Canis lupus familiaris: one gene and its partners. The protein of the gene in region 3 purifies or fractionates together with the protein of the main gene of each other region. This does not show direct contact. Links are inferred from orthologs where the notes say so. Each region holds a gene or a part of one and is shown on either strand. Other genes may lie near its edges.

What was found.
Region 1: the proteins of NUP153 (region 3) and NUP133 purify together in Homo sapiens (co-immunoprecipitation; 3 studies listed by BioGRID and IntAct, with this or other methods). This does not show direct contact. The link is inferred for Canis lupus familiaris from reciprocal best matches to the Homo sapiens genes NUP153 and NUP133.
Region 2: the proteins of NUP153 (region 3) and NUP50 purify together in Homo sapiens (affinity purification with mass spectrometry; 8 studies listed by BioGRID and IntAct, counting the BioPlex papers as one, with this or other methods). This does not show direct contact. The link is inferred for Canis lupus familiaris from reciprocal best matches to the Homo sapiens genes NUP153 and NUP50.
Region 4: the proteins of NUP153 (region 3) and RAN purify together in Homo sapiens (affinity purification with mass spectrometry; 5 studies listed by BioGRID and IntAct, counting the BioPlex papers as one, with this or other methods). This does not show direct contact. The link is inferred for Canis lupus familiaris from reciprocal best matches to the Homo sapiens genes NUP153 and RAN.

What each region holds. Positions count from the first base shown.
Region 1 is NC_049225.1:10,149,274-10,156,896, reverse strand, and holds the start of NUP133 (nuclear pore complex protein Nup133), read right to left. Parts: upstream 3,994-7,623; 5' UTR 3,882-3,993; coding exon 3,700-3,881; intron 1,293-3,699; coding exon 1,174-1,292; intron 1-1,173. UniProt on the Homo sapiens protein: Involved in poly(A)+ RNA transport. Involved in nephrogenesis.
Region 2 is NC_049231.1:21,794,305-21,802,036, forward strand, and holds the start of NUP50 (nuclear pore complex protein Nup50), read right to left. Parts: upstream 4,348-7,732; 5' UTR 4,225-4,347; intron 53-4,224; 5' UTR 43-52; coding exon 1-42. UniProt on the Homo sapiens protein: Component of the nuclear pore complex that has a direct role in nuclear protein import. Actively displaces NLSs from importin-alpha, and facilitates disassembly of the importin-alpha:beta-cargo complex and importin recycling.
Region 3 is NC_049256.1:17,836,355-17,843,520, forward strand, and holds part of NUP153 (nuclear pore complex protein Nup153), read right to left. Parts: intron 4,303-7,166; coding exon 4,108-4,302; intron 1,361-4,107; coding exon 476-1,360; intron 1-475. UniProt on the Homo sapiens protein: Component of the nuclear pore complex (NPC), a complex required for the trafficking across the nuclear envelope. Functions as a scaffolding element in the nuclear phase of the NPC essential for normal nucleocytoplasmic transport of proteins and mRNAs.
Region 4 is NC_049247.1:1,618,676-1,625,918, forward strand, and holds RAN (GTP-binding nuclear protein Ran), read right to left. Parts: upstream 4,757-7,243; 5' UTR 4,745-4,756; coding exon 4,709-4,744; intron 4,601-4,708; coding exon 4,516-4,600; intron 4,443-4,515; coding exon 4,317-4,442; intron 3,489-4,316; coding exon 3,301-3,488; intron 3,132-3,300; coding exon 2,961-3,131; intron 2,866-2,960; coding exon 2,821-2,865; 3' UTR 2,807-2,820; downstream 1-2,806. UniProt on the Homo sapiens protein: GTPase involved in nucleocytoplasmic transport, participating both to the import and the export from the nucleus of proteins and RNAs. Switches between a cytoplasmic GDP- and a nuclear GTP-bound state by nucleotide exchange and GTP hydrolysis.

The DNA of each region.
Region 1 (7,623 bases), on a different chromosome or scaffold from region 3:
TTTATTCTTCTTACTGGTGCTGTTTTGTAGAATCAGGATCAACATTAACAGGTTTTGCGGGGATTGTTTTATACCTTTTTTTTTAAATCAGACTTCTATTTTTATGTTTTAACATTTTCATAAAAAAAATTTTTGTAACTGGAGCCACGTAACAAATATGAGGAAAATTGTGCCTTGTTTCAACAGTTTTGCTAATTCTTAGGCTGAAAGATGACAGATGCCTAGAGTTTACCTTATGTTGAATTAAAATCAGTATTTCTCTAACAACAAAAAAAAAAACCAACAGGGCAGCCTGGGTGGTTCAGCGGTTTAGCGCCACCTTCAGCCCAGGGCCTAATCCTGGAGACCCAGGATCGAGTCCCATGTCGGGCCTCCTGCATGGAGCCTGCTTCTCCCTCTGTGTCTCTGCCTTTCTCTCTCTGTCTCTCATGAATAAATAAACAGAATCTTAAAAAAAATTATCTAACATTATTATATGAAATGCACTCTGATATCATGCACTCTGTTTTTTTAAGTGCTGGCCATGAGACACTAAACTGACTTCAGTCACTACTTACAGTTTGAAAAACACTTCCAGAAAATCACAAAAATCTAGAATTGAATCATAAACAAAAATGACTTGGGTTCATCACTGAGGATGCTCTGAACTTTGCTCCCCCAGTCACCCAACCCCTCGTCCTTAGTGTTGCCTTTTTGATGCTTGTGTGACTGCATCTTCCAAATTTCCACTCTAATTCTCTGCCAAGAGAATCTTCTACAGGTACCACATTGATAACATAAATGTGTACATAAAACCTCTGGGATACTACACAGGATCCAGAAATAGAAGTAAGATTTGACCTGATTGCAGTATTACACCCAATAGTGTGAGGCAGTGGTTGTTTTTTTTTTTTTTTTTAAAGCTAACTTCATACACACAAATTCTGAAATCGGACTGAGTTTTGCATATGCAATGTTTAAAGCCATAAAAGAAGTAACATGATTGTGCTAAGAATAGACTCATTCTGCTTCTGAAATTTATTTTATTTTTCAGTTACAGTGAAGATCAAATATGTTATCTGTTTCTGCCCGATTTAAGTGAAGGAATATCACAGAAAGCACAAATTTCGATCTAAGCTAGAGCCAGGCTGCATTCTGAATTGCTAATAAAGGCAAATGGAAAATGATACCCACCTTCAGCCAATGTTAAGGCTTCCATTATTTTAACAGGAAGAGAAGATCCAAATGTTTTCACATCATAGTTCATAGACTCAGTTACACAGTGGTGTGGCAATATCCGTGTAGGTGTCCCTCTAAAGAAAAGAAACCATATTATTTGAATCATAACTTAAAATTGTGTTATTCTGATCTTTACATACCTATTTTCACATGAAGAGAAGATCTTGCTTTGGCTCATGTCTACTGCAATTAACTATATTTTTCATTAAAAAAAAAAAGACTGACAGGATCTAGAAAAACTTGGTTTCGGACTCTTCTGCTCTAGCAATCAGATGCATGCTCTATTTGCTTAGACCCTTTATAACTGCTTCCTTAGTTGTGAAATACAAAGGTTGGACTAGATCAGTGTTTTCCAAATTGTGGGTCATTTTGAAGGTCTCAATCAACATTTATGAAAAATGAAATAGAATATAATCTAGAAAAAAAAAAGAATATAATCTAGAATTTATTCTACACTGTGGTCAAAAAAGCTTTACAAACATTGGGTTAGATCATCCTTAAGCTCTCATCAGCTCCAGAATTCTTTTTTTTTTTTTTTAATTTTTATTTATTTATGATAGTCACACAGAGAGAGAGAGAGAGGGGCACAGACACAGGCAGAGGGAGAAGCAGGCTCCATGCACCGGGAGCCCGACGTGGGATTCCATCTTGGGTCTCCAGGATCGCGCCCAGGGCCAAAAGCAGGCGCCAAACCGCTGCGCCACCCAGGGATCCCCCAGAATTCTTTTTATTGAAGTACAGTTGATATACAATGTTACATTAGTTTCAGATGTACAATACAGTAATTGGAAACTATGCTCTGCTCAAAAGTATAACTACAGTCACCATGCAACCCTATTATATCACTGATTATATTCCCAATGTTGTACTTTTCATCCTCATGCCTTACACATTCCGTAACAGGAGGTCTGTACCTCTCACTCCCCTTCACCCATTTTGCCCTCATCAGCTATAGAACTTTATGAAATCTACTAGACTTGTACAATCAAGAAATTAAATAGGGTCCTGAATATCTGCTGTTATCTGTTCTTCAACACCAGATACAGCAGTCGAAATTGTATCTCCTGCGTTTAGGGCCACCTTCAGCCCAAGGCGTGATCCTACAGACCAGCGATCAAGTCCCATGTTGGGCTCCCTGCAGGGAGCTTGCTTCTCCCTCTGTGTCTCTCAATCTAAAAAAAAAAAAAAAAAAAAATTGTGTCTCCTTCTCATCTTGTTAACCTTCAAAAATAATGTAAAGTTACCAGTATAAAATTTATTCCCTCTTGTGAGGATTAAATGAGCTTTGTTTCCTGACAGAGCGTTATAACAAAGATTTTTCTTTAAATGATCACTGGAGGGGACCCCTGGGTGGCTCAGCGGTTTAGCACCTGCCTTTGGCCCAGGGCATGATCCTGGAGTCCCAGAATCGAGTCCTGCATTGGGCTCCCTGCACGGAGCCTGCTTCTCCCTCTGCCTGTGTCTCTGCTCCCCCCCGCCACATGTCTATCACGAATAAATAAATAAATCTTAAGAAAAAAATAAATGATCACTGGAAAGTAAGAAAAGTTTTTAAAACACATTAAATAGAGTACAGCTTTTATTCCCTGATTTTTCTCAAAAGTAGAAAACACTGACAAGATCACCACTTCGAAGAGCACTTTCAAAAGCAAAAAGTCAAAGACGCAGTGTAGTTTTTAAAAACCATTTCTCCTTTAAAGCATTGCAAACATTCAGAGATAAATTTTAACTATAAATTCAAAATCCAGCATCACAGTTTTCTTGCAAAAAAAAAGTTCATTTTTGGTAGACGAATTCTGAGGAAACTACTCTAAAACATGCTACCTTCTAAAGTTCTAAATTAATTATGACAGGGGGGCATGGAGCATGATTTAACAGATATGTGGACTAATGTGAAACGCTTTTTTCTGGTAACTATTCTTATGTCAATGCTACGGATAACCTTTGCCCTATTTAATTTAGCTACAAAATTAACTTGTGTGGCCTAAAGTCCCTTAATTATCAATCAGCAGATATATTAACGGCAGTAATTATATCAGGCACTATACGATTTTCCTAGGCTGGAGACGCTCATTCCCACCATCGTCGAGGAATTTCATGTTGATTCATTTGGCCTTGAGTGAAGCGGGTTCAGGTCAAATACTATCGCCATTTCACAGATGAAAAGAATGACTGACTTGCACCGGAACACAGGGGCAGTAAGGAGGCGGCAGGCAACCACTCACTGCAATCCAACTGTTCCCTTCTACACAGAGGTAGAAGAGACCTTTTCCATGAAAAGTGAAAAGTGAAGGCACAATTGACGAATTAAAAGCGAGGCTGAAATAACCCGCAAAGATGGCGAAGGTCTATTTCCCCCAAACTTCTGGCATTCCTCCCCGCCGCCCCCGGTTCCGGAGGATTCTGGAGACACTGGCCCAGCAGGCCCGCGAGGCACGTAAGCCTGCGCATCACCGGACCGAACCGGGGACAATCACGTACCTCGAGCTCAGCGAGCTACGCCGGCCGACGGGCGAAAAGACCACCGGGGAGCTGACTGCCGACCCCAGGCACAGCCCTTTCCTGCTCGCCGTCCGGGGCGTGGAACCTGGCCCGACTCCGCCTAGCGGGCCCCTCCGGGTTCCGGGCCCGGGTGTCCGCGGAGAGGAGACGGCCGGGAACATGACGGAAGGGAGAGGCGACACAGAACGCGCCGATCCCGCCGGTGCGGCCTGCAGCTCTGCTCGCGCGCGGAGCTTGAACACCCAGAGGCGGGAGGGCGCGCAGTGATGACGTAAAAACACAGCGCCAAGCTCCGGGCTTTGTAGGGTGGCGGGGGCAGAGCGCGCGGTCAGACGTAAAAGCGCAGCGCCGAGGCGCGGGGTGTGGTGGGGACGGTGGGAGGGCGCGCGGTAATGACGTGGAGCGGCGCAGTCGGCCGCGGGGCGTGGTCGGAGAGGTGACTCCTTTGGGGCCTTCGGGGGCCGGCGGGTGTCGGGAGCCTCAGGGAAGCGAGACTGGAAAGCCCGGGGCCCTCTGGACCCCGAGGGGTGGGGCTGGCCCCCCGGCAGCCTGAACACCAGCGTCTCCGTGTGCTGGTGTCTCCTGAGCCTCTCGCCAGCTGCAGTGTCGGATCCCTGGTCCACGCTGAAAGGCCGCCAGTGCTGTCACACTCAGGGTTATGTTTGTCCTTCTCCAGGTTTGTCGTTCCCCACTCAACTCCGCGCCGTCTCATCCACGCTAGCAGAGTCCAGGTCTTTAGCCCGGATCTGGCTCAGAAGCTGCCCTCTGCAGCAGCTCCCGGGGGGACAATGGGACCTGCGTGTCCTGCAGACTCCTCACGACCCATGTGTCAAAAACTGGATTCCTGTTTTCCTTGAGGACCCCTTCGCCCCCGGGTAAAGGAGGGCTCGTCCCGGAGTCACTCGGCGCACCGACCGCCGCCGCGACATCCCGGAGCGCCGAGCTGAGTCGGGCCACCGGGGCCAGCCTGGCCGGGACAGCGGGGACCCAAGAACTTCGGTATCACCACCCGGGCTGCTACATTTTCCTCGTGGCTGCCATCTCCTTTTTTTTTTTTTTTAAGTCATTTCCTTATTTATCCTCTGACCTTATTTTGAACAGCGTGGTTCCTTCTACAGGAGACTAGGAGGAGGGATGGTGTGGAGCCGCGTCTCCCGCTCGAGCTTGCCCACCCACCCACTGCCTGGGAATGTGCACGTCTAACGGGCTTCCCGGTGTGGGTGATGCTGCTGTCTGGGGATATTTTGACAACCACTCACGTAGTAATTGAGTGTATAGACTCCGGAATTAAATGGGACTTGCTTTAAATCTCGCCTCTGCTATTCACTATCTCTGTCACCTTTTTGAGCCTCTATTAAATTACTGAAAGTACTCGCTTGTGAGAATTAGATAGTGGAGACATGACTGTATTCATGGATGGCAAAAAACACAAACGTAGAATGAAAGCAAACAAGCTGAAGAAAAACAGTATTTCCAATAAAATAGTACTCTTTAAAGAAAATCCGCAAGAGAAAGCAAGCCACCCCAAAAGGAAAAAAAAAAAAATGGAAATGTGGAAGGCATGAACTAGCATTAAGTCAAAGACTAGAAATGACCACATGAAAAGATCTTCAATGTCACTAGTAATTAAAGAAATACGAATCAAACCACCAATCAGTATTTTTTGCCTGTTTAACTAGTTGGAAGTTTTTTAAAAAATGAAAATAGTTCATGTTGAAAGGCTGTGGAGTAATACGTGCTGATATTTACACTTCTGGTGAGATTTTTATAAATTAGTACCATCTTTTGAGAGGATAATCTATCAAAAAGCCTTATAACTTGCACATGCTCTTTAAACTTGGCAATTCACTTTTAGAAATTATCTGAAAAAAACAAAAATCATATAGATAGTATTGTTTATAATAGCGAAGACTATAGAAAGATGTACAATGATAGCTTTGTAGTATATTCACATTAAAAGAAGACATGTAGATGCGTGTAATGAATACTTAAGGATATAGGAAAATATTTCATTGTAAAATTTTATTTTTTTTTAACTTTTATTTATGATAGTCACACACACAGAGAGAGAGAGAGAGAGAGAGAGAGAGAGGCAGAGACACAGGCAGAGGGAGAAGCAGGCTCCATGCACCGGGAGCCCGACGTGGGATTCGATCCCAGGTCTCCAGGATCACGCCCTGGGCCAAAGGCAGGGGCCAAACCGCTGCGCCACCCAGGGATCCCCCCATTGTAAAATTTTAAAAAGCAGGTTGGTCTAAGAACAGTATTCCACGATGAGCCCTTTATTTTCTGTATATTTTTTTTATTGGAGTTCGATTTGCCAATGTATAGCATAACACCCAGTATGCATCCCATGGAGTGACTCCTCAGTGCCCATCACCCAGTCACCCCATCACCCCACTCACCTCCCTTTCCACCACCTCTTGTTCGTTTCCCAGAGTTAGGAGTCTCTCATGTTCTGTCTCCCTCTCTGATATTTCCCACAACGAGCCCATTTTTTAATTGAAATAAAATACTTCAGGACGCCTGGGTGGCTCAGTGGTTGAGCATCTGCCTTTGGCTCAGGTTGTGATCCCTGTCCTGGGATCGAGTCCCGCGTCGGGCTTCCTGCGTGGAGCCTGCTTCTCCCTCTGCCTGTGTCTCTGCCTCTCTCTCATGAATAAATAAAATCTTTTTTTAAAATGAAATAAAATATCTCATTGTATGTCTAGACACATGCACATTTGTGAGATGTTCAACCTGAACATGTGCCTCCCTTCCTAACGTGCTACCCTTTCAGTTAAGACCAAACTTTGATTTATGTGGCACTAATCACTGCAATCAACAATGGGACAGTAGCCAGAATCACTTCTTGCAGCTGTGGTAGAATTGTTAGAATCCCATTATCACTGACATAGTAATGGTGACATTATTAAAATTGAAAGGCAGGGGAACAATGAAAAACTCATGATAGAAATCATCCACGCCCAATCATTTTCAAGGCATTCATTTAATTGCCATCTAATGGCAATGGGACTTTGAGATAACTATAAATTTCATTGTAGTTTAAAGGAATTTAGTCCTCCAAGCAGGGAAGAATGCATATTGTTTTCACTAGTTCAATGGTCAGGAGACTGTCAAGGGTCAAAGACCGTCTCCAGCTTGCAGGCCTTTTAGTCTGTTGGAACTGCTCATAAATGAGTGTGGCTGTGTTCCAATAAAACTCTATGGACACTGAAATTTAAATTTCATATAACTTTGATGTGTTATGAAATATTTTTCCTTTGATTTTAAAAATAATTTAAAGCTGTAAAAACTGGGGTGCCCGCATGACTCAGTTGGTTAAGCATTGGACTCTTGGTTTGGTCTTGGGTCATCATTTCAGGGTCGTAGGATGGAACCGCATGTCAGGCGCCATGCTCAGTGTAGTCTGCTTGGGATTCTCTCTCTCCTTCTTCCTTTACCCCTCCCCCGGCTCACGTGTGCTCTCTTTCTCTCTCTCACTAAATAAATAAAATCTTTAAAAAACAAACAAACCGGGATCCCTGGGTGACTCAGTGGTTTAGCGCCTGCCTTCAGCCCAGCGGGTGTGATCCTGGAGTCCCAGGATTGAGTCCCCCAATGGGCTCCCTGCATGGAGCCTGCTTCTCCTTCTGCCTGTGTCTCTGCCTCTCTCTCTCTCTCTCTGTCTCATGAATGAATAAATAAAATCTTTTAAAAAACTGTAAAAACCATCCTTAGCTTGCAGACCATACAAATCAGGCAGCAGGTCCGTTTACTGACCCATGGGCTAGTTTCATGAGGAAACATGGGTCCTTTGTAGGCATAGGGGAAGTAGAGAATGCTCAGTAATGTTTTTCAAATGAATGAACAGAGATTGCCATGATGCCTGACATAAAAATCATGTAGAAGGACACCCCCAAA
Region 2 (7,732 bases), on a different chromosome or scaffold from region 3:
ATTCCTATCTGTCAATTCCTTCTCAGCAATTCTTTTGGCCATATTTTCAAATCTAAGTTAAAAGTAAAAAGAAGTGAAAAGTGCTTTTCTAGACCAAGATATAAGAATTTACAAAGAATATTTTTAAAAGATTTATATGATAGAGAAAGATGGTGTGAGCAAGCACAAGCAAGAATGGCAGAGGAGAGAGGGAAGGGGGGAGAGAGGAAGAGAGGAGGGGAGGAGGAGGGAGAGGGGGAGAGGGAGAGAGGGGGAGGGAGGGGAAAGGAGGGGGAGAGAGAGGGAGGGGGGAGAGGGGGAGAGAGAGAGAGAGAGAGAGAGAGAGAGAGAGAGAGAGAATATGAATGAGAATATCCAAAGCAGACTCTGTACTGAGCATGGAGCCTAATGCAGGGCTTGATCCCCTGAGGTCATGACGTGAGAGGAAACCAAGAATTGGACAGCTTAGCTGACTGTGCCACCCAGGCACCCCAAGAATTTACAAAAATTTTTAAAAAATTCATTCTAGCATGAAACGAGATTTAAAAAAAAAATTCCTGATATCAGGGGAAGTGCCTTAATGAAAACTTTACAACAGTGTTATTAGGCTCCCAGTGTTACATATACAATAAAGAATTATGGAAGTAGGCAATGCAGGTCTTCTAAGGAACTGGCACTCTTTCTGAACAACGCTAAACCAGCTCCATTTAAAAGAAGTTAAAACACTTTTAAAAATGTGAAATCTTAAGTACTGTATACGTAATCAACAAGTGCTAAATTTACTCTATGCAAATTACAATTATAGTCTTGCTACAGGCAAAACTTAAAATGCTCTTAAAGATGATCCAATAAAGAAGTTCATTCTTAGATAAGAATTTTAATAAGGCACTGGAAATACTTTCACAGCACGAGTACTCTGCTTTATTGAGTACGTAAATTTCCCAAGACTGAACATTTAGTTACCCCAAATTGTATACTGCTAAGCTAGAACATCATGTAAAAGTTTAAAATGTAATTAATATACATGTGTTAACACTGAAAACTTATAAAAGAATAAGCCATCAGCTTAACTCCTCTAAAGCCACCATGTCCCAGGGAAGAGGAGGAGACAGGGACCAACTGTTCTCTCTGTAGATACACGCACCTAACCAGAGAGGGTGCTAGTACCCAGCCCTTATAACTTGCAGTGTTTTCTGATCCTAACATATATTCTTTGCTCTAAACAGCAAAAATAGCACAACAACCAATAGAGAGCTCCACTGTAAGTGCTGTGCTGGCTTGTTCTCTAACTCACCAGCTGAATGGACCAAAAAACCCTCCATTTCCCACTTTGTCCTGGGCAAGTGGGAAGTTCATTCAGAGTTCCTGAAACCTGTGTAGACTCCTGATGGTCTTTACCCACTCTCTTGTCTCAACACCACAAACCACCAGAGTCAGTTCCTAGAATTTTATGATTACTAAGATACACTTTCACACACTGCCTATTTCCCTTTAGTATCTATGAAATAAAATTCAGACATTGACATTCCAAAGTCCTTCAATATCTGACCTCCTGTAAGCGTAACTACATTGGGCATTTCAGCTTTTAATAATATCCTAATAATGTCTGAACTTTTCTATTCAAGGATGTACATGGTTTTTTCCCTGATTATAAAATAAATGGCTTTCAAGTCCACGATGCTAACACAAAGTAGGAAGGATACTCAGCCATTATCTGCAAATCCCTCTTTTTAAGGTCTCCCCCTCAAATACCTGGTCAGATTTTGCCATTAATCTTGGTCATTCAGATACAAGCAAGCAAAACCCTTTCAGACCCATTTCCTTACTGAACTTCCACTGTTGAGAGGCCTGGTCTCTGCGCGGACTCTTTCCCTAGTCAGTAACTAACACCTCCACCAGGGGGCAGAAGAGACGAGAAGTTGAAGGAGTCCTTTTTGCTAAGAGTTAAGGCAAAAAGGGGGTGGAGCTGAAAGTGCAAACTGTAATGAAACTGTCACATCTAGTCAGGCCCACAAATGAAAGATAACCAGGGGAGTACAACCACCAAAACCAAACAGCTGCTCCCCCAGACTACTGGCCACCTAACCGCAGGGCAGGGATCTCCCTTTTGCTTCCGGGTCTACTCCCATTGCCCCAAATCTGCGGCTCAGCTCACAGCAGGTGCTCCAGCAAGTGGCTGGTTGATCTGGGGCCCTACTTATTTTAGAGAATACTACAAGATGCTGGCATCTCGGTTTTGCCATTTTCTTGCTAAACCTCTGGCAAGTCATTTAAAACTGCTATGACTCACTTTCTTCATCTGTAGAAGACGAAGGCGTTGGGAAAATTAAGGAAGATAAATTGAAAACTTAGTTCAGAACACTGCCTGGAACAGAGGAAGGGCTTAATAAACATTATTACAGACACAAGTTTTGTTAGAAGCAAAGGCTACAAAATACTACTTTTCCCCAATAATGTATGAAGCACAGGGTAGAAAAAGAGAATTATGAGCCAGGCTTTAAAATATATTTTAGTGGGCAGCCCCGGTGGCTCAGCAGTTTAGCGCTGCCTGCAGCCCAGGGTGTGATCCTGGAGACCAGGGATCAAGTCCCACAGCAGGCTTCCTGCGGGGAGCCTGCTTCTCCCTCTGTGTCTCTGCCTCTCTCTTTGCTCTCTCTGAATGAATAAATAAATAAACCTTAAAAAAAATAAAATAAAATAAAATATATTTTAGCAAATCTGTATTCTATTTCAAAGTAGGATGCTCCAGATAATATTTTTTATGAAAAAAGAGGAGGAGAAAAAAATCTCTGGGAAGTACTCAGAACAAAGCCCAGCACCAAAGAGTCTTCAGTTTTGGCTACAGTTAAGCATTTAGGGGTGCCTGGCTAGCTGACTGGTGGAGCATGCAGCTCTCCACCTCGAGGTTGTGAGGTCCAGCTCCGCCGTGGGTGTCCAGATTACTTAAAAACAAAATTGTAAAAAAAAAAAAAAAAAAAAAAAAAAAGGATTTGAAAAAAAAATTAGGGCTTGTGGTTAAAGAGGCACCAAATTTTAAAATGATTCCTAGGTATGAAGTACTGATAAGAAATTGAGAGTACTCGTAATTGGAGAAAACTATTATTTGTGCCTGATAGTGTTCCGTGGTCTCTGCCACCAGGTGCTGCCTCCACCTCGGGGTTGAACTTCAGACATCAGTTTACCCTGAGACGAGAACAGGTATGACCATACTTGACGGAGAGAGAAAAAGAGAAAAGGTGGGGGGGGGGGGGGGGGGGAGGCGCGGAGCCCGGAGACTGGAAGGCTGCGGAAGGCGAAGTCTCAAAACTGCTTAACGGGGCAGAGGACAGGGGTGACCGGCAGCCCGGGACTGCGGAGGGAAGCAAGGCCCCGGCGTAGGCAGCGGGTCCCTGCCCGGAGACCGCCGAGGGGAAGCCCCAGGGGGGACCCGACCCGGCGGCCGGGGCCCAGGCCAGCTCCGCACCACGGTCACCGCACGGTCACCGCACCGGGCCGACCCCAACCCGGCCCCGGCCCCGGCCCCGACCCCGGGTCCCTCCTCCCCAGGTCTCACTCCCCCCACCCAGACCCCAGCTCCCCGTCCCAGATCCCTCCTTCCCCAGGCCCCATCCCGGGTCCCTCCCCCCCACCCCAGGTCCCTCCTCCCCAGGTACCCCCCCCCCCCCCGCCCCGACCCCAGGTCCCTCCTCCCCGGGTCCCATCTCCCCCCACCCCCCCACCCTAGGTCCCTCCTCCCCAGGTCCCTCCTCCCTAGGTCCCCCCCCCCACCCTAGGTCCCTCCTCCCCGGGTCCCTCCTCCCCAAGTCCCCCCTCCCCCCGACCCCAGGTCCCTCCCCCCCAGGTCCCCCACCCCACCCCAGGTCCCTCCTCCCCAAGTCCCCCCTCCCCCCGACCCCAGGTCCCTCCCCCCCAGGTCCCCCACCCCACCCCAGGTCCCTCCTCCCCAAGTCCCCCCTCCGCCCGACCCTAAGTCCCTCCTCCCCGGGTCCCTCCTCCCTAGGTCCCCCCTCCCCCCCACTCTAGGTCCCTCCTCCCCGGGTCCCTCCTCCCTAGGTCCCCCCCCAGGTCCCTCCTCCCCGGGTCCCTCCTCCCCAAGTCCCCCCACCCCAGGTCCCTCCCCCCAGGTACCCCCGGCCTCCCCAGGTCCCTCCTCCCCAGGCCCCATCCCGAGCCGGAACCCGGCCTCCTCCGCGGGCTCGCCGCCCCCGCCCCCCGCCCCCCGCTCACGCCGCCGCCGCCTCTCACCTGCCGGGCGCCCGCCGGGGGCCCTCTCCGGGTGCGGGCGCGGTGCAAGCCGGCTGCGGGACGACGAGCAGGTGCGGGCGCCGCTGCGGGACACGAGCAGGTGCGGGCGCCGGCGCGGGCCTCGGGGATGAGGCGGCCGCCGGCCGGGGTGAGCGCGCCTGGCCGCGCCGGGGTTCTCCGAGAGCTTGGTGGTCAGCAAGCCCCGGGCCGCAAGCACCATGTCCTCCAGGGGCCGCGCCTCTCTGTGCCCGGCGGCGGGGGGAGGGCAGTCCGCTCAGCCAGAGGCCGCCGGAGGAGCCGCGGCCGGCGGGCTCCGGGCCGCCATCTTACAAGTCCGCTCTACCCCGCCCGACCCGACGCTATAAAAAGGGAGGAAAGAAACGCCCGCGTCCAGCCACTGCGCAGGCGCGCCGGCCGCGGCCCGCGGGACCTCCCTCCGCCGGCCGTGGAGCGACACGCGGCGCAGGCGCTCTGCGGCCTGGAAAAAAACCGTCGCCGGGAGGAGCGCGCCCGTCTCGCGCATGCGCGCGCATGCGTGCATTCCCCCGCCCCGCCCCCGCCGGGGGAGCCGGCGCCCGCGGCGGGAGGCTACGCGCGGTGGTCACGTGTCGGCGGCGCGCCGCGTCTCGCTACGGCCGGGCCCGGCGGGTGTGCGACGCGCTCGGGGCGGCACGGGAGCGCGGCCGGGGCTCGGGGCGTTCGCGGCGCGGCGCTGAGCAGAGAGACAGGCGGCGGCCGGGAAACGTGAGTGACCTCGGGGCGCTCGGCGCCGCCACCGTGTTTCCCCGCGGCTCGCCTGCCCGCCGACGCCGGAGGACCGGCCCCGGCCGCGGAGCGGGAGACACGGACCCCCGGCCCGCCCGCGTGCGCTTGCGGCCGCCGTGGGCGCCCCGTGGGCGGGGGTCGCGCCCCAGGGCAGCACCCACCCGCAGGTCCGCCCGCGCGCCGCCCCCGCGGAACTAACGCCCTGGGCCTCGTGCTCTCGCGGGAACACTGGGGCGCATCCCCGCACGTGCGGGGCACGCGGGGTGACGCGGGGCGTGCACCTGCCCGGGCCATCGCGAGCTAGTTAGGACGCCTGCCTCGGAGGGGGTGCGGGGGCGGATATTTAGGGTCGGAACTTCTCAAGGTCTGTGCATCCTTGCAGGTGGAAAACCAGCTTGCCCACAACCATCTCCTGTGTTCAGGAGCCCTGCCCGGAAACGCCCACCCTTGGATCGGTGTGTCCACGACCCCTATCCTGCTGGATTGCACACATTAAGGGTTAAAAGCAGGTGGCGCTCGCGCTGGACGTTTAAAAATAAAGCCAGATTTATTGCCTGCTGTGATGGTGACTTCACACCAAGACAAGAATCCAGAAGGTAGATGTGGCCAGATGTTTGGATTTTTTTCGTTTGTTTGGTTTTTTTTTCTCTTCCTGAGGCTAGAAAGGAAAAAGAAATACCCAGCCGGGGAACTGTATTAGATGTTTGTCTTTCGCACAGTCTTTGTGGATTGGACTGAATCATGCCAACTGTGTGTGTGTGACTAGTAACCGTGTGTTCTTGCACGATCTTTTTTTTTCTTAATGTTTTATTTATTTATTCATGAAACAGAGAGAGAGAGAGGCAGAGGCACAGGCAGAGGGAGAAGCAGGCTCTGTGCAGGGAGCCTGATGTGGGACTCGTTCCCAGGACTCCAGGATCAGGCCCTGGGCCGAAGGCAGGCGCTAAACCTCTGAGCCACCCAGGGATCCCCTCTTGCACGATCTTTAGTGGCGTGCTCTTTAGTGTTTTTGTTTTTACCAGTAAAAAGAGAACTTGGAGTAGAGCTTCCTCTGGATCGTGCATGACTTGCCAGAGCATCCGTCTGGTTAGTGCCAGGGCCCAGGTCTCAGTTTCAGCCCAGGGTCCCTTTCCACAACCACTGAATGCCTGCTGTTAGGGGGTGGGAGGCTCTACATTTGTTTGGTGCCCAGTAACACGTGGCCTCTGGTCTCTTCCTTCTGTCCCAGGTCAGCTTTCCCATACCTCACAGTGACTGTTCTAAACTCTCATCACAGGGGCAGCCCAGGTGGCTCAGTGGTTTAGTGCCTGCCTTCATCCCAGGGTGTGACCCTGGAGACCCTGGGTGGAGTCCCACTATGGCTCCCTGCATGGACCCTGCTTCTCCCTCTGCCTGTGCCTCTCTGCCTCTCTGTCTCCTCTCTGAGTATTCTCATGAATAAATAATAAAATTAAAAAAATAATAATAAACTCTCATCATGGGATCCCTGGGTGGCTCAGCGGTTTAGCACCTGCCTTCTGCCCAGGGCGCAATCCTGGGGTCCTGGGATCGAGTCCCGCATCGGACTCCTTGCGTGGAGCCTGCTTCTCCCTCTCTGCCTGTGTTTCTGCCTCTCTATCATGAATGAATGAATGAATGAATGAATGAATGAATGAATGAATAAATAAATAAAATCTTCAATAAATAAACAAACTCATCACTTAAACCTTTCCAGCCACCTACCTGCCTGTGTACCTCCCAGCCCCCAGTCTCACCTCTGCTTCACCATCCTTAGTACATTACAGGCACCCAGCTCCTTACCAGTGAATGAACCCGTCTTCTCCATTGAGAAAAATATTATCCCAGACTTTTCCTGAGCTCCCTCCTGATCAATAGCTTGTGAATTTCTATATTTGGTTCTGCCTGTGTGAAACTCATTCATTCCAGTATGTTTTTTAGTGCCTTCTTATAAATTGAACAGTTTTTTAAACACCAAAGTACAAGTACTAGATAACTTGCTTTATAATACGTAGGTTGTTAACCACATAAGGGACACAGATAGCTTAGGTAAGTAGTGGTAGCCTTTCACATATATACAGTTGACCCTTGAACAACACAGACTTGAACCGTGTGAGGTTTTTTCCAATAAATATAGTATTGTATTTTTCTTGACATTTTCTTTTCTCTGGTTCACTTTATTGTAAGAGTACAGTGTACGATGCATATCACATACAGGATACGTTTTAATTGACTTGATGTTTTCCGTAAGCCTTCCAATTAACAGTAGGCTACGAGTAGATAAGTTTTGGGGGAGTCAAAAGTTATACTTGGATTTTTGACTGCTGGGGAGGGGCAGTGTTGGTGACCCTAACTCCCGGGTTGTTCAAGGATCAACTGTATTTATCATTGTAACATAGCTGGTTAAAATCACAACTTTAGTAATACAAAATCTCTTACAGTAATACAATATTTGTCTTGTGAGGCTAAGCGAAGTAGTACATTTACTTCTTAATTACATATTGTAGCATGAGGTGATTGATGCCTTTCTAACGCAAATAAAAGATGTGTACAATAGCACTTTAGCTGAATTGCATGTTATGTGGTGGAATTCAGTGCTTATGGAAATGACCGCTTTAAACTGGCTATAACTCAGGCAGTTTGGGTGCGGAGCTCCCTACCTCCATTGAAGTTGGCTACATGTTTAGTGACGCTCCTTATAAAATTTACGAAATGGTTCTCCAAAGATGTGAGACAGTATTTCTGA
Region 3 (7,166 bases):
CATTTTTCCTTCAGGATATTGCTTTTTGTAATCACCTCTCTGTTTCAGGGACTAATATATTTGATGTCTATGCGCCTGATGATGACTGGTTAGCTCTATTTGGGAATGAAGGCCTGTATGTAAAGATTTAGTTAGAAAATATTTCAGGAGCTCATGAAAGAAGGCCTATTTTCCTGAATAGTATGCCAATTCCGAATGTAAAAGCTCACACAGGAGAGAGAAACATGGACAAATGGGCAACACTGTGGGTTTTCCACTAGAGCTGTATTTCTCAAAATCAGGTGTGTAGATACCATCATCACACTGTGGGGGTTTGGGACTGTTAAACTGAAAACACTATGCTCCTTTCCAAAAAGTTACCAGTTTCTCTCAACTATGTTCAGTGTAAACCATTCTCTCACCTGCTCCATTTGTCTAAATATTAGAGACACCTTGTAAAATAAAAATAAAACAAAAATAAAATTGTAACACTTACCAGCTGTAGTATTGGTTGGAGTTCCAAATGTGAAAGTGGCCTTTGTTGGCTGCTCCGATTCCTTCTCAGATGGTTTCGCCATACTGAAACTAAAGGTGGACTTTGAAGAACTCTCATCTTTGGTTTGCTCTGAATTCCCAAAGGAAAACACTGGTTGACACTTTGGCTCTTCACTGTCAGCTTTCTTCCCAAACACCAGAGAAGTAGAAGTGACTGGCTCCTGCTGTTTCTCTTCTGTCCTTCCCAAAACAAACAATGAGGCAGATGGCAGAGGGGCAGGTTCTATACCACCGAAAGTGAACCCTCCTTTGGCGGCAGGCATTTCTTCTTTTTTTGCTTCTGTCGTCTTACATGTGAAAGGAGCCACTGAAACACTCTTGGTTTCTATGGTTCCAAAGCTGAAGCTGCTCTTATTCTCGGAGGTCACTGTGGTGTTAGTAGCAGCAGGTGTGGAGTTAATAACACCTGTACCAAAGCTGAAGCCTACAGATGAAGATTTAGGTGTTTCCTCTTTCTTTTCTGGCTGTCCAAGATTAGACACCCCAAACTGAAATGGAGCTAACGAAGTTGTATTACTTAAACCAGAAGAAAGTCCAAATTTAAAATCATTATCATTCTTATTGTCTTTTTTAGCTTCTTCAGGTTTAGACTCAGACGAAACTCCAAATTTAAAATCTCCTATTGGTTTAGAAAATTTAAAGCCTTCACTCATGGAGTTTGGAGCCTCAGAATCTGAAGACACTCCTATTTTGAAGCCTCCCTGATCTCCAAACTTAAAATTTCCAGTGCTTGTTAAAGTCTGAGAAGGCCCAGAAGAGGATGATGGGATACCAAATTTGAAGGATGAAGCTGCTGGGTTTGAAGATGAGGAAGATGTGCCAAAGCCTTCAAAATATAAAAGACATCGAATTAATGTTATCCTCTCAAACAAAATGTACCCCTGAAAAACAAAGAGACAAAAGAATAACAACTCTGGAAAGGCCTTTGAAGAGTTATCAGCAATGGCCATAAAACATGAACCAGCTGCCCAAAATTCAGCAGGAGAATCACATCTTAGTCCTCACAACTATACATACTGACATACCACTTTTCATCCTGACACTGGCCAAGATCAAACAAATTTGATAAAACAGTGTTGGTGAGGAGTCTAGAACTAACAGACACTTTATACATTACAGGTAGATGCGTAAATTAGTACAAAATTCAAGGAAAGCAACTGTCAGTATTTACTAAAAATTACAAACACACGTATCCTTTGACCCAGCAATTCTACAGCTAAGTATGTACGTACGTATTTATTTATTTAAAAGAAAGGCGGACTGCCACATGCAGGGCCTCATCTGGATGTGTCTGGAGCCTTGGAAGCTTTACTGTCCTATATTTTCCTACAAACGGACCTTGATAGCTTGTCTGGAGGTCCTAGCAGGGAAGCACAACTACTCGTATACCCTTGAGCACACAGCTTGGGAAGGGTTGTATGTGGAGATGTGAGGGGAGGAGGGGACACCGCCTAGCCAGCCAGAAGATTGTCCTTACATCCTAAGTCTTTACTTAACTTTTTTTCCCCCTAAGTCTTTATTTTGAAGATAAACTCACAAACATGCAAAATGCCACATGCAATCCCAGGCAGCTGTGAATGAAGAACAAAGATGTGTCCAAGCTAATCTACAATAAAAATCAAGGGAGCAGAAAGGCAGTATGATATACAACATTTTCTAACAAAACAGAGGGAAAGAAGAATACACAGAATAAGAAAATATTTGCTTGTCATATGCATAAAGAAACTTTGGAAGAGTTTTAAGAAACTAACCAGTTATTACCTCTGGTGGGGGAGGAAAGATGGAAAATGAACCTAATGGGAACAAGAGGTAGACTTTTCACTGTGAATCCTGTCATAATTAGAGTTTGAAATCTTGTGAATAAATTTGTTATCAAACATTAAAAAAGAAAACTTTACCATCAAAGAACCAAAAGAACTGCGTGAACAGAACCAGTACTTAAAAAGACAAATAACATGTTGACAAGATTAAAGTCTTAGTTTCCTAGTACTTCAATGTAGCTGAGTAAACTAGAAATGAAGTAACTGATTGGCTCAAAACAGGAATCATTCAAGGGTCAAGATATTTATCCATTACTTTGCCTACCCAAGTATAGAGACAAATGACAGCCAAGCTTTAAAAGCCCTCTTATCATCTTCAAACTCTGCCCCTTTAGAGACGACCCATTCCTTTCTTTCCCTAAGAAACTTAACTGAAAAATTATCAGAATTTGAGAAGCAAGCAGTATTCCACACGGTCTTTAAATATCTTCAGTCATATTAGACAGAAAGCTGAAAATGAAGGGGCCAGAGACGGTAATTAACTTGTTATCACATCTGCCTCAGAGAGACAGATTTGAAGTTATGGTGATTACAGTACAACAGGTAAAGAAGAAAGAAAAACGGCTACATAATGACCTCAAGAGGACTGGAAAGTAGTGATCTTCTAAAACACCCAAATGCAGTGTTTTGGTTTTTTTTTTTTTTTTTTTTTTTTTTTTTTTTTTTTTTTTTTTTTTACTTTCTAGGAGAGAGAATTAGAGAGGGCACAAATGGGTGCAGGGGAGGGGCAGATGGAGAGAGAGAATCTCTTCAAGTCGATAGCATGCTCAGTGCAGAGCCCCAACACAAACCAAGAGTCAGACACTCAGGTGCCCCCTCCCCACAAATGCAGTGATTTTCAAACCAGCTGTGTGTCTCTTTAGCCATGTGATTAATTTAGTGGGTTCCAACCAGCATTTTTCTTCTAAAATGAAAAAGAATCTAAACAGGGTGACTTAAACATACTAAAGGGTAAATACTGGTTTGTGATACTTTTCTTTCAATCATATAGACAAATACCATGTGCATGTGGTAGGTCACAATGTAAAAGTTTACTGACTGGTTTCCACTCAATGTTTGAAAGCCGCTATCCAGGACATGGTTACAAGCTGATGAAGCTTGGCATTCTTTTTCTAATGACCTCATGGTCTCCACCTTAGAGGCCTCCTCCCTTACAGATTATAATGTTTCTCATCTCTCTCTCTGACTGTTCCTTCAGATCTAAAATCTCTTTCCTGGCTTGTATCAAATTTTTGAGTGAATTGTACCTCATATGAAATACTCAGTAAGTCACAGAGGACTATGAAGACTTGAAAAACTTGGCCTCCAGAGGCAGTTTAGAATGAATTGTTTTTAGAAGTTCTTCCTTTATGGAACAAAATATGAAGAGAATTCTTTTTCTGGGACATTCTCTGGGAAACCAAAGCCCAAGTCTAGATTACTTACAACAAAGTTCTCGGGGCATAAATTCCCAGTCAGATAAGAGTCAGGAAGCCAAAGGTTTGTTAACAGTTAAAAACAAATTATCTGCAACTCTCTCCGAGTCAATGCAAGACAGAATAACCCCTTACCAGCTGCAGAAAAGATACCTCACTGCTGACACTGAAATCACTTATCTTTACAGTAACTCTGAGAACTGAGCTAAAAGTATCCAGGACATTATCTCATTTTACATGAATTTTCAATAGAGAATGAGCAATTTTAAAATTGAACATGTTTGCAAATATTTCACTTTAAAATGGCAGTACAAGGAGGTACTGTACCAATGCCTTACCTTTAAACTCAGATTTTGTTCCGGGCTTTGCACTCTCACATGCCACACATTTGGTAGCATCTGCTTTATTCTGCACCAGGCAGATTTCACAGTCCCAACTGCCCTCGGGTTTCTTGAACTTGTCTAACCCCAGGCAGCTTCCAGATGACAGAGAGGCAGGGACAGTGCTGCTACTTGAAGCAGGTACCAAACTTCCTAAAAAAATAGTGAGGAAACACATAAAAATTCTAATTCATGTTATGTCACTATCTTAAGGCACCATTAAGTCTATATGTTCAATTAGTGTTTCCTATTAAGACAAAGTGCCAGAAATACAAACTTTACACTGTTAAAAACAGTATAGATAGCTCAGATTTCTTTTAATCTTACAAATAAGCAGCTCACATTCACCATGTCTAGTGACGAGCTCCCTCTTAACCCAAAATGTGAATAATTGTGGTTTAAAAAAATAAAAAAAACATGCTGAGAAATCAGAGACTAAAAGGTCCTTAAGAATCTTTTTTTTTGTCCTTAAGAATTTTTGTCAAATCTCTTCAAACAGCACAGCATTTTAACATATAAATTATAGGCAATATCCTAACACATAAAATACATAGCCACAGACCACATTAATTTCAAAGGCCAGGCCTCTGCCTTCGAAATATCATTTTGGCACAGAAGTTCCTGCCATTGGTTAGAACCCAGTCATTTAACAGACACTAAAAGTACCATAATATACCACAGTACTAAGGATATAAAGATGAATGAAATGCTGCTTAACTTCTGAAAGTGCTAACGGTCTAAAAAGGGGGAAAGCAAAACAAATGTATAGTAGCACCATCACCAAAATGCAAAGTGATAAATGAGAAAAGAAGGAAGAGATGACTAAGGGGCAAGAGAAGAACCAATTTACAGAGGTGACATTTAAATCTTTATGCAGAACTAGCGGGTTTGTAGGGAGTGGAGGTGGCATGGGAAGGACGGCTCCACAAAGCCATCATGAAGCAAGTGCGTTACTACAAATGGAGCCATCCATTCTGGCCATCTCTACATGTTCTCCATGTCACCTCTCCCAACTACCTGGTATCTCTTCCACTGTCATGCTCTCTCTCTTGCCAAGAAAACTGCTTCCTGAGGTTCCATCTTCGGTCCACTGTCCTCACAAGTCTCATCACCAACAAAACCACTTCCTACCCTGTACCTGTGGCCAGCGCACCTGAGCTTCAGCTCTGTGGTCTCCCTCTTAGCTGCAGTGCCCCTGGCCAGCTGGTCAGCGAGGCTGGATGGCTCTGCCTTCTGCATGTTTCTCCCATCCATTCCATTCCCTTTCTGAACCTACTAGCACTGCCCTATGTCAAGTGGCCCTCAGCTCTTGCTTGCATAACTTGTTGAGGCCTCCATTCTCATTCCCTGAAGTCCATTCTTCTAAGAAGCAAAATCAGTGCCATGTAGTTTTGGATTTTCCTCCCCAGTCCCTCCTTTAAAAGATTAAGCAGCCCGGGTGGCTCAGTGGTTTAGTGCCACCATCGGCCCAGGGCATATGATCCTGGAGTCCCGGGATTGAGTCCCATGTCGGGCTGCCTGCATGGAGCCTGCTTCTCCCTCTGCCTGTGTGTCTGCCTCTCTCCCATGAATAAATAAAATCTTTAAAAAGTAAAGTAAAAAGTAAATGAAATAAAAATAAAAATAAAAAAATAAAATAAAAAATAATAAAAAATAAAATAAAATAATAAAATAATATAAAATAAAATACAATATTAACTGTTCCAAAGTTTTGTTCCTGCCACTCCCCATAAGCTAACAGAATGGTTTCGTTCCTGCCAGTTCCCGTAAGCTAACAGAGTTCAGTTTTAGGCCAGTCCCTCACTTCACATCCATCTCTGCTCCCATCTCTTATTTGAAAACTAGAGCCTAATGACTCCCAAATTTGTATTTCCAGCCCCGAACATGCATGTGTAATGTATCTAAAGGCTTTGCATTTATGTGCCAACTTCACACCTTCAAATCAACCATGTATTATTCTACATCCTGATTTGACTCCCTTAGTATCTCCATTGCCATGATCTTTGCCCACATGTACTCCTGATACATCCTCATCTGCCCTCTGGTCTCCAAATTTTGTTGCCTTCAAATCTATCCTCCAAAAACCCACGAAGCAATTTGTCAAACATACAAATTTAACTGGATCACTCCTCTGCTTATAATGATGGTTCATCATTTACAAGACTGAAGCTTGACTGCTTGAATAAATTTTTGAGCTTCCTTTATTTGTGGAAGGAATTTACTTTCTAACTCAGTTTTATTCTCCCAATCAACTCAGAATTAATTTTGGTTTCTTCCACAAGCAAAGGCTTGCTTTTTTATTTACTTATTTTTTTAGGTGAGGAGGAGGAATGCCACATAGAAAAAGAAAGTTATTTCAGAATGAAGATTCTGAAATCTTATTCTTGTGGACATGTCCAGTAAGAATTAGAAATAAGGCTCACCTCTTGTGTTCACACATAGGGTATACAGGTTAACAAATCAACTTTCCATTGCAGACATAAAAACTACATATCCATGAATAATGCAATAAAAAAATAAGTATAATTCCGATGATATTCTTAACACTTTTTACTTAGTACCTATGTTACCATATATCTATACCAAATAATTATATATTATAAAAACAGCAGAGTCCTTTCCAGTTGTGAATTTCCAATAACTTTTTCAAATTAGAACAGAGAAACAAAAAACTCAAATCTAACTCCATGTTTTTTACTGCCAAGTTAGATTCAGTAATTTACTATCATTGCAACATCTTGGCAGAGACCACACAGGTATAGGTATCACCATTAACATTCAACAACAGTCTTTTCACAAAGCAGTATTGTCTACTCCCTGGTGAAACCTTCTCTGGAATGACCACTTGCCGTCCTCACTTCAAAACAGAGATAAAGTGGTGTTTGTTTTGGGAACAACTGTTCCTTTTAAGATCTTTCAGCTTCTGTATTAGTCAACTTTGAAAATGATAACCAAGAACAAGTAGTTTCTGACAAAAATGTATGTAAAAAAAGAGGTACAAGTATATATTGGGCTGG
Region 4 (7,243 bases), on a different chromosome or scaffold from region 3:
CCCTCCTACTCTACTTCTTGAAGGCAGGCAACTGGAAGCCGACTAAATCCAAGGCTCCCCTCCTTCCACCTCCCACAGCGGAGTGGAGGCACGACCGACCCTGGATCCCCGTGTCATCATGCACACTTTCCCTAAGACCCCAAGCTGGGATACATGCAGAGGACACTGCAAACTACAAACTCCAGGGAGACCCTCCCCGCCCCCACCATTCCACCCAAACCTCCATGTTCTCCCCCTTGAAACCTCTCGAAAAATGTAATGGGAAGGACAGGGCAGAGCAAGGAGCATCCAGTGAGGGGGACAAATCAAATGCCAGCTGACCCTTCCACCATGGCCACAGGGGCAGCTGAGCCAGTGCACATTGCCATATGAGACTACAGGGGCAGGGAAACATCCGCCAGGGACACAGGACCCTGAGCATGGTCTGCAGTGCTTAGGCCCACCTTTTACTCCAACAAGGCTCCAGGTCTCAAGGTCAGGGTGGGGGCACCTGTCTCTTGTCCCTTTAGAATCAGGCACAAAGCCTGCAGCCCCAACATGGTCAATGGTGTCACACCTGCTGAGGCTGGTCCCACATGTATACCTAACCAAGCCAAACCAAAGCAACCTTCAGCCCTGTGTTCACCTCATTTCCTAAGACTAAAGTGATGTTCATAAAAAACAAATTCTCAAGTTGCACTTCTCAATCAAGAAAGTAGTTTTTTGAAGTTTAATATATTTCTGCAAACCTCTGCCCTTTCCTGACCTGCCGAGAAGATGAAGAACCCACTGTGTACACTGATGGGACCAGACACCTTGCCCTCATCTTACCAGTGCTCTGTATTAATTCTGCTTCATTGTGAGGTCACCAAACAGGACAGACGCCACCCAAAGGAACGAACTCTCCACACATGACATGAAGCAAACTGTGCTGGCTCTCACTGCTTGTGCTTGGACAGACCTGTCCTTGTCCACGTCAACAGAGCCACGGCACAGGCTCTCAATTCAACGCTCCCCCATCACATCAGATTGCAATAAATGGAGGGAGAAGCATCCCCCACATGTATAACCTGCAGAGAAACACACCCTCACACGAAGGGAATCCCTGCTAAAGATCCAGCGTTTCCCAGGGAGTACTAGAGATGATTCAGAAAATCCAGACAAAAAGAAGCAATATATTTTGCAGCAAATTTTTCTTTCAGTAAGACTTGTGAATTCTCTCCCATCCCATTTTCAACAGGTAAGTGAAGTAGCTTCCAAATTTAACAGTTACATTTCAGATTTAGTCACGTCACACACACTTGCATTCCACACAGGTCACAAACACATATGCCTCCTATTACGTATCTGAAAAAGGTTTCATCCCAATGATGGGAACGATCTTTTCAAGTCACTTAAAATCTGGTTTTGAACCTAATATAGTGTAACATTTACAGTAATTGAAGTACATCTATTGATACATTTACTCAATATTGAAATTTATTAAATTCTACCCTCTGTATTTCATTTTTCCATATATTTAAGCAACCCCTTCCTACCTTCTTTTTAGGTAAGAAAGTAACCATTTAAGGAGAAATGGACATCTAAGGAACTTTGGTAAACAACCATAGCAGTGCTCAAGTGAGCATAATAGTTTAAGACTCCTAACTGCTACAGTATAGCATCCATGGGGTCAAAACTGAAGACAGACTCCACTCGTTCTTAAATGTGTAAATCATACAAAGATAAATGGTTTGATCCAACGAAACCTTTGCAATGTTTCACGTTTCAAGAAGCCATTCTAAGATCTACTTTTCTATTTAGTGTTCGTGCCTTTGAATTGGCCACAAAAATCCTTCAGAAAAAAAAAAAAGCATCAAAGCTGTGAGATGCCCAACTTAAATCCTTACTCTTCAGCATCTTTAACACTCAGAAATACTTGAAAGCAGCGGGTAATCGTGGAACATCTTTCTAGAGTACCAGCTTCACATTAGACGTTAACATTAAAACAAAATCAAATCAATGCATAACTTACACTCATTTTTAACAAATGAGACTCCTGTCAAGTCCCCACCGTCATCTGTTATCGTTCTACCAGATTCTGAACATCCCTACATGAGAGCACGGTTACTGGTCACAAAATAATGTTAACTGTAATTCTTAAAATGCCTATCCGAAACGTCTAGTAGTTTTGTTCCAACAGGTCACAGAAGTCCAAAGCTCTTCCCCAGGTGACACCACCCAGTCTGAAGGCAGATGCGACGGGCATCGTTTTAGCTTCACCACGGATGCTCACCCCTCTAACAATCTACCAAACGGAATACTGCGGATGTCTGCCCTGTCACCTGTGTGAGAGGATCCAAATGTACAAATAGACAAGAACTTAACCTGCAAAGATTCAAATTAAGGGAGAATAGCAAAGGCCAGTTCAACAGTAACGTGGCACAACTTTTCCTGTTAGTGGTTTTAAGATGCTTACCAAACAAGGGAGGAGTTCATTGGCTTAGATATTTGAAATACAACTTTATTCTGATTCTAAACGAAAAGGAATGGGAATGACAGTGACAAACGAGATTTCACCACTGGATATTGTGATGGGACTGTAGCAGTCTCATTATCTGAAACTCAGGAAGGAAACAACTGCGTTCCAAAACAGCTAAGTATGCAGGTCCAAAAAAATGAAGGTACTGTTTAAACTGCCACATTCACTCCGAAGCCCATTCATCTCCTTCAGCATCCCAAAGATTAAGCACATGTTCTGCTCAGCTATATAATAAAAGTGGCAAACACGCTGCACCACTGACATCACAGGACAGTTGCCTATAAAACTAGACTTCTGACGCTGGCCTCCAGCTGCACTTCTCACAGGTCATCATCCTCATCCGGGAGCGCGGTCGTCTGAGCAACCTGGACAGAGACACAACGTCAGGACACCATGGGTTAGAGCCGTCAGGACACGGGACACCCAAGAGATCCCACTGACGGACCCATCTGCCACCTACCTCTAGATCGTGCTCGTACTGTGCTGCCAGAGCTGGATCCATGACCACCTCTGGGGGGGCAAGAGCAGGCATGGCGACAAACTCCAGGTTAGGGTCTCCAATTAGTTTTCTAGCAAGCCACAGGAACGGCTTCTCAAAATTGTAGTTACTTTTGGCAGAAATGTCATAGTACTGTTCCATAAAATAAAATAAGTTTTTAAAAATCTACTTCTTGAGGATCATTGAAATGTTTAAAACTAAAAATAGTTTTTCCATCCATACCACAGACACAATTTCCTTTAGTGGATCTATTACCGTAGTTTCATCTTAGAGAAAAACAATTAAGTTTTAAAAAACATACCTGAAGGTTCTTCTTTCGGTGGAAGACGATAGATTTTGCCTTAACTTTTCTGTCCTTAATATCCACTTTATTGCCACAGAGCACAATGGGGATGTTCTCACACACTCGTACCAGATCTCTATGCCAGTTAGGCACATTCTTGTAAGTAACCCTTGACGTTACGTCAAACATTATAATGGCACACTGGGCTGAAACAGATGTAGGAAAACTGTTACACATGTATGACTTCTTGCACAAATGAGGAATGCTAAGGAGCACGGGCTAGGGGACAGGCCCAATCTGGCTACCTCTGCTTCTGCACTCACTACACCCCAATGTCTCTCTCTTCCAAGTTTAAGGATCTCCAACCACTGTAATACGTAACAAGATTTAAAGTTTCATTTTCTGTGTGAGTGTGAACTACCAGCCTAGCTTATCAAATCTCTCCCGTAATACTTCATTAATTCCGTCCCATCCCAGAATCTCAAGTAGACTACCGATAGAGCAGCACCCTAAGACAACTGGTCTCCTCTATTCTGAGGATCTCAGAACCTGCTCTTTAAATGATCCTAAACTACACAAAAGAGTATGTTATTCTGCCTTAAAACACGCAGGCCTACATACTGACCTATGAGGAACACAATTCTAATATAATTGAGACAACAAACCGAAGTATGTACAGTCTAGGAGTTTCCTAATTAAACACTTTTTAAGAAGAGAAAAAAAAAGCTGTGTATCTGTAACATAGCAAAGGATGCAAAATATGGAAGGACTCCCAATCATCTTTCATCACAAGAGATCCCAGATGACATTTTCTTCCTGTCTTTATCTGCCACTCTACAGTGCCCTTGAGGGAAAAAAACAAGCAAAAAAACCCCCAACCAGCCCCAACGACTCCGGCAGCCACAGCAGCACCTCGTGGGATGCTCATTGTCTTAGGTGAGGAGCCCGCTCCGGGTCCCGGCTCCAGGCTCCAGGCTCGGCGCTGCGCCCATCATGACACAGCACGCGGCAGCCGCCGGCCCGCCCTCACCCACCTTGGATGTAGTAGCCGTCCCGGAGCCCGCCGAACTTCTCCTGGCCGGCGGTGTCCCACACGTTGAACTTGATGGGGCCCCTGTTGGTGTGGAACACGAGGGGGTGGACCTCCACGCCCAGAGTGGCTGCAACACAAGCACGGCCGTCAGGTCCGCTCGCGCCCCGCTCCCGGGGGCCCCCGCGGCTCCCCCCACGTACCTACATACTTCTTCTCGAATTCACCCGTCAGGTGACGCTTCACGAACGTGGTCTTGCCGGTGCCGCCGTCGCCAACCAGCACCAGCTACGAGACAGGACGCGGTCGCGGGGGGCGGGGGGGGGGAGGGGAGGCCCCGGCGCCCCCCGGGCCGCGCCGCCCCGCTCCCCCCGGCCGCCCCCGCGCACCACCCACCTTGAACTGGACTTGGGGCTCTCCCTGGGCAGCCATAGCGCTGGTGCTGCGGGGAGACAGACGTGGGACGGCTGGCGGCGGGGCCCGGGCCCACATGGCCGGCCCGCCCCACGTGCCCGGGCCCACAAAGGGGCTCCGGCGGCCGGGCCCCACGCGCGCACGCCCGGGCCGGGGCGGGGGCCGCGGCGCGCTCCCGGCGGCGGGCGGGCGGGCGAGCGGCGCTGCTCCGGCGGCGGGTCTGGCGGCGCGCCCGTGGGGGAGGGAGGCCGGGAGGCCGGGGCGGAGGCCGGCGCGCGGGGCGGAGGCCGGGGCCGCCCGGGGCCCCGATCGCGCGCCCCCCGGCCCGCGCCGCCCCGGGGCCGCCGCCCGCCCGGGCCCACCGCGACTGGCGTCCCGGCCACGGTCTTCGGTCTCTACGGCAGGGGACGGCGAGAGCCCGCCGCCGCCGCCGCCGCCGCCCCGGCCCGCACGACTGCCGCCCGGCCCCGGCCCCGGCCCTCGCCCGGCCCTCGCCCGGCCCCCGCCCGGCCCCCGACCCCCCGGCCCCCCGGCCCCCCGGCCCCTGGCCCCCGCGGCCCCCGCGGCCCCCGGCCCGGCCCCGCTGCCTTACCTTCCAGAAGCGTCTCCGGCCCGTCTGACTGAGGGCTGGAAGATGGCGGAAGCGCAATTCAAATGCCCGGAGACGCAGCCGACGCCGGCGCGCGCCGGGGGGGGCGGGGCAACGGCGCCGCGTCGCTCCCACGTGGCCCGGCGTGCGCGCGCACGCACGCCGCGGGCTCGGCCGGCCACACCCGTCGGCCGGGCGCGGAGGGGAGAGTCGCGGCGGGGCGGCAGTCGCGCTCGGCGCGGGCGCGCGGACGCACGCCGGCTCGCGGGGCCACGTGCGCCGGCCCAAGGGCGGGTTCCAGCGCGCGCATGCGCCGACGCCGACGCGGCGCGCCCAGCTGCGGCCGCGCCACGACACTGGGAGGAGAGCGCAGGCCTCTTGGGCGGGAAAGTCGCGGGGAGCGGCCGACACAAAGCCCCGGGCCTCCGGGCGTGGGGCCTCGCCGTGGGCGCGCGGGACGGTGCGCCGCGGGGGAAGCGGGCGCGTGCGGAGGCCTTGGGCCCTGCCCCTGTGGCCCTGCCCCTGTGGGCTCTCGCGGCACCCCGGGCGCTCCGACCCGCACCCTCTCCCGGAGCCGCCCGTCCATCTGCCACCTGCCTCCCCCGGGCCTCCATCACCCTCTCGGCCGCTTCCTGCGCCCCCGGCCCGGCCCGGCCCCGGCCCTTCCTCCCAGACCCCGGTCCGCAGAGCCTGCCCTGGGCCCCCGCCGCACCCCCTCCTCTCACCTGGACCCCGCGGGCCCCTGCCTTGTGTTTCAGGCCCCCCCACCGCCCACACCCGGTGTCCCTGGCTCCAGCCAAAACCTTACTTGGGGGTAAAGGGTGCAAAATCGATGCTTTTTCTCACCCTAAAAGGCAGCCACCCTTTTGTTAAAGCATTTCCTTGGTCAGCAGCCTTTGTGACTGTATCCTGCGCACAGGATGACGAAATCGTGTTTTCAAACCTGGCGGCTCGCATCCCAGTTACAAATTTGGATGCAATCGATGAGTATGTAGGTTCCAGACTGTGGAGACAATAAAGCTGGCAAGAATGCAGACGAGATCCATGCACTCAGAAGTCACATGCTGCTGGGGATGCCCACCTCGTAGGGCCGGTGTAGGCAGAAAGTAAGATGAGCCACAAGCTCAGCAAGTGTTGACAGTTAACTACTATTCATTCTCAGCAAGGAAGTGGGCCAAGTGGAGTCCTCTAACCTCTTACCCTAAATCTAGGGCCAGTTTTTGGCATTTGTGTGGACAGCCACAGATTCTCCATAACCCAGATCCTCTCGGCCCCCTCTGCAAGCAAACATCCGCACTCGCGGCAAGAGTAGTACCGCTGGTGGCCCCATCAGAGTAGTCTGGTTGCTCAGGAAGGATTCCACCGTGGGGACTCTTCCCAGAGCGCAGAGAACCCAGATGACGGAGGAGGAGTTAGCCACTTAGTCTTCAGTGCCCTTTGCAAGCAAACCTATTGGGAACACAAGTGATGCAAATTGGGCACAACACTTGGGCGAATCTGCCTGCTGGGAACTCCAATCCCACTGCTCTCCAGGACCCTCAGGAAAACACCAAACAGATCTCTATGCTGCTTGGGTGTGACCATTGCTTTGGCCTCTCTGGAAAGCAGGAACTGATAAAACATGAGTGCCGAGAGCTGGCGACCCTGTAACTTCCACTTCTAGAGAGATTCTCTGGAGTTAAACTCACACATATGCACAGGGAGACAGTATCTCAAGCGTTCGCTACAACATTATGGCAACAAAAAATGCAGCTTCCAGAGATACCCATTGGTAGGGAAACTACAAATATTTAACTATTACAGTATGCCATCTGAAAGGAAGCAAGTTCATCTGTATCAACAGGGTTAGATCTCAAAGGATAATGTTGAGAAAGAAGGAAGTTCAAGAAAGATGTGATAATGGTCTTAAATAGTCCACAGTATATGTA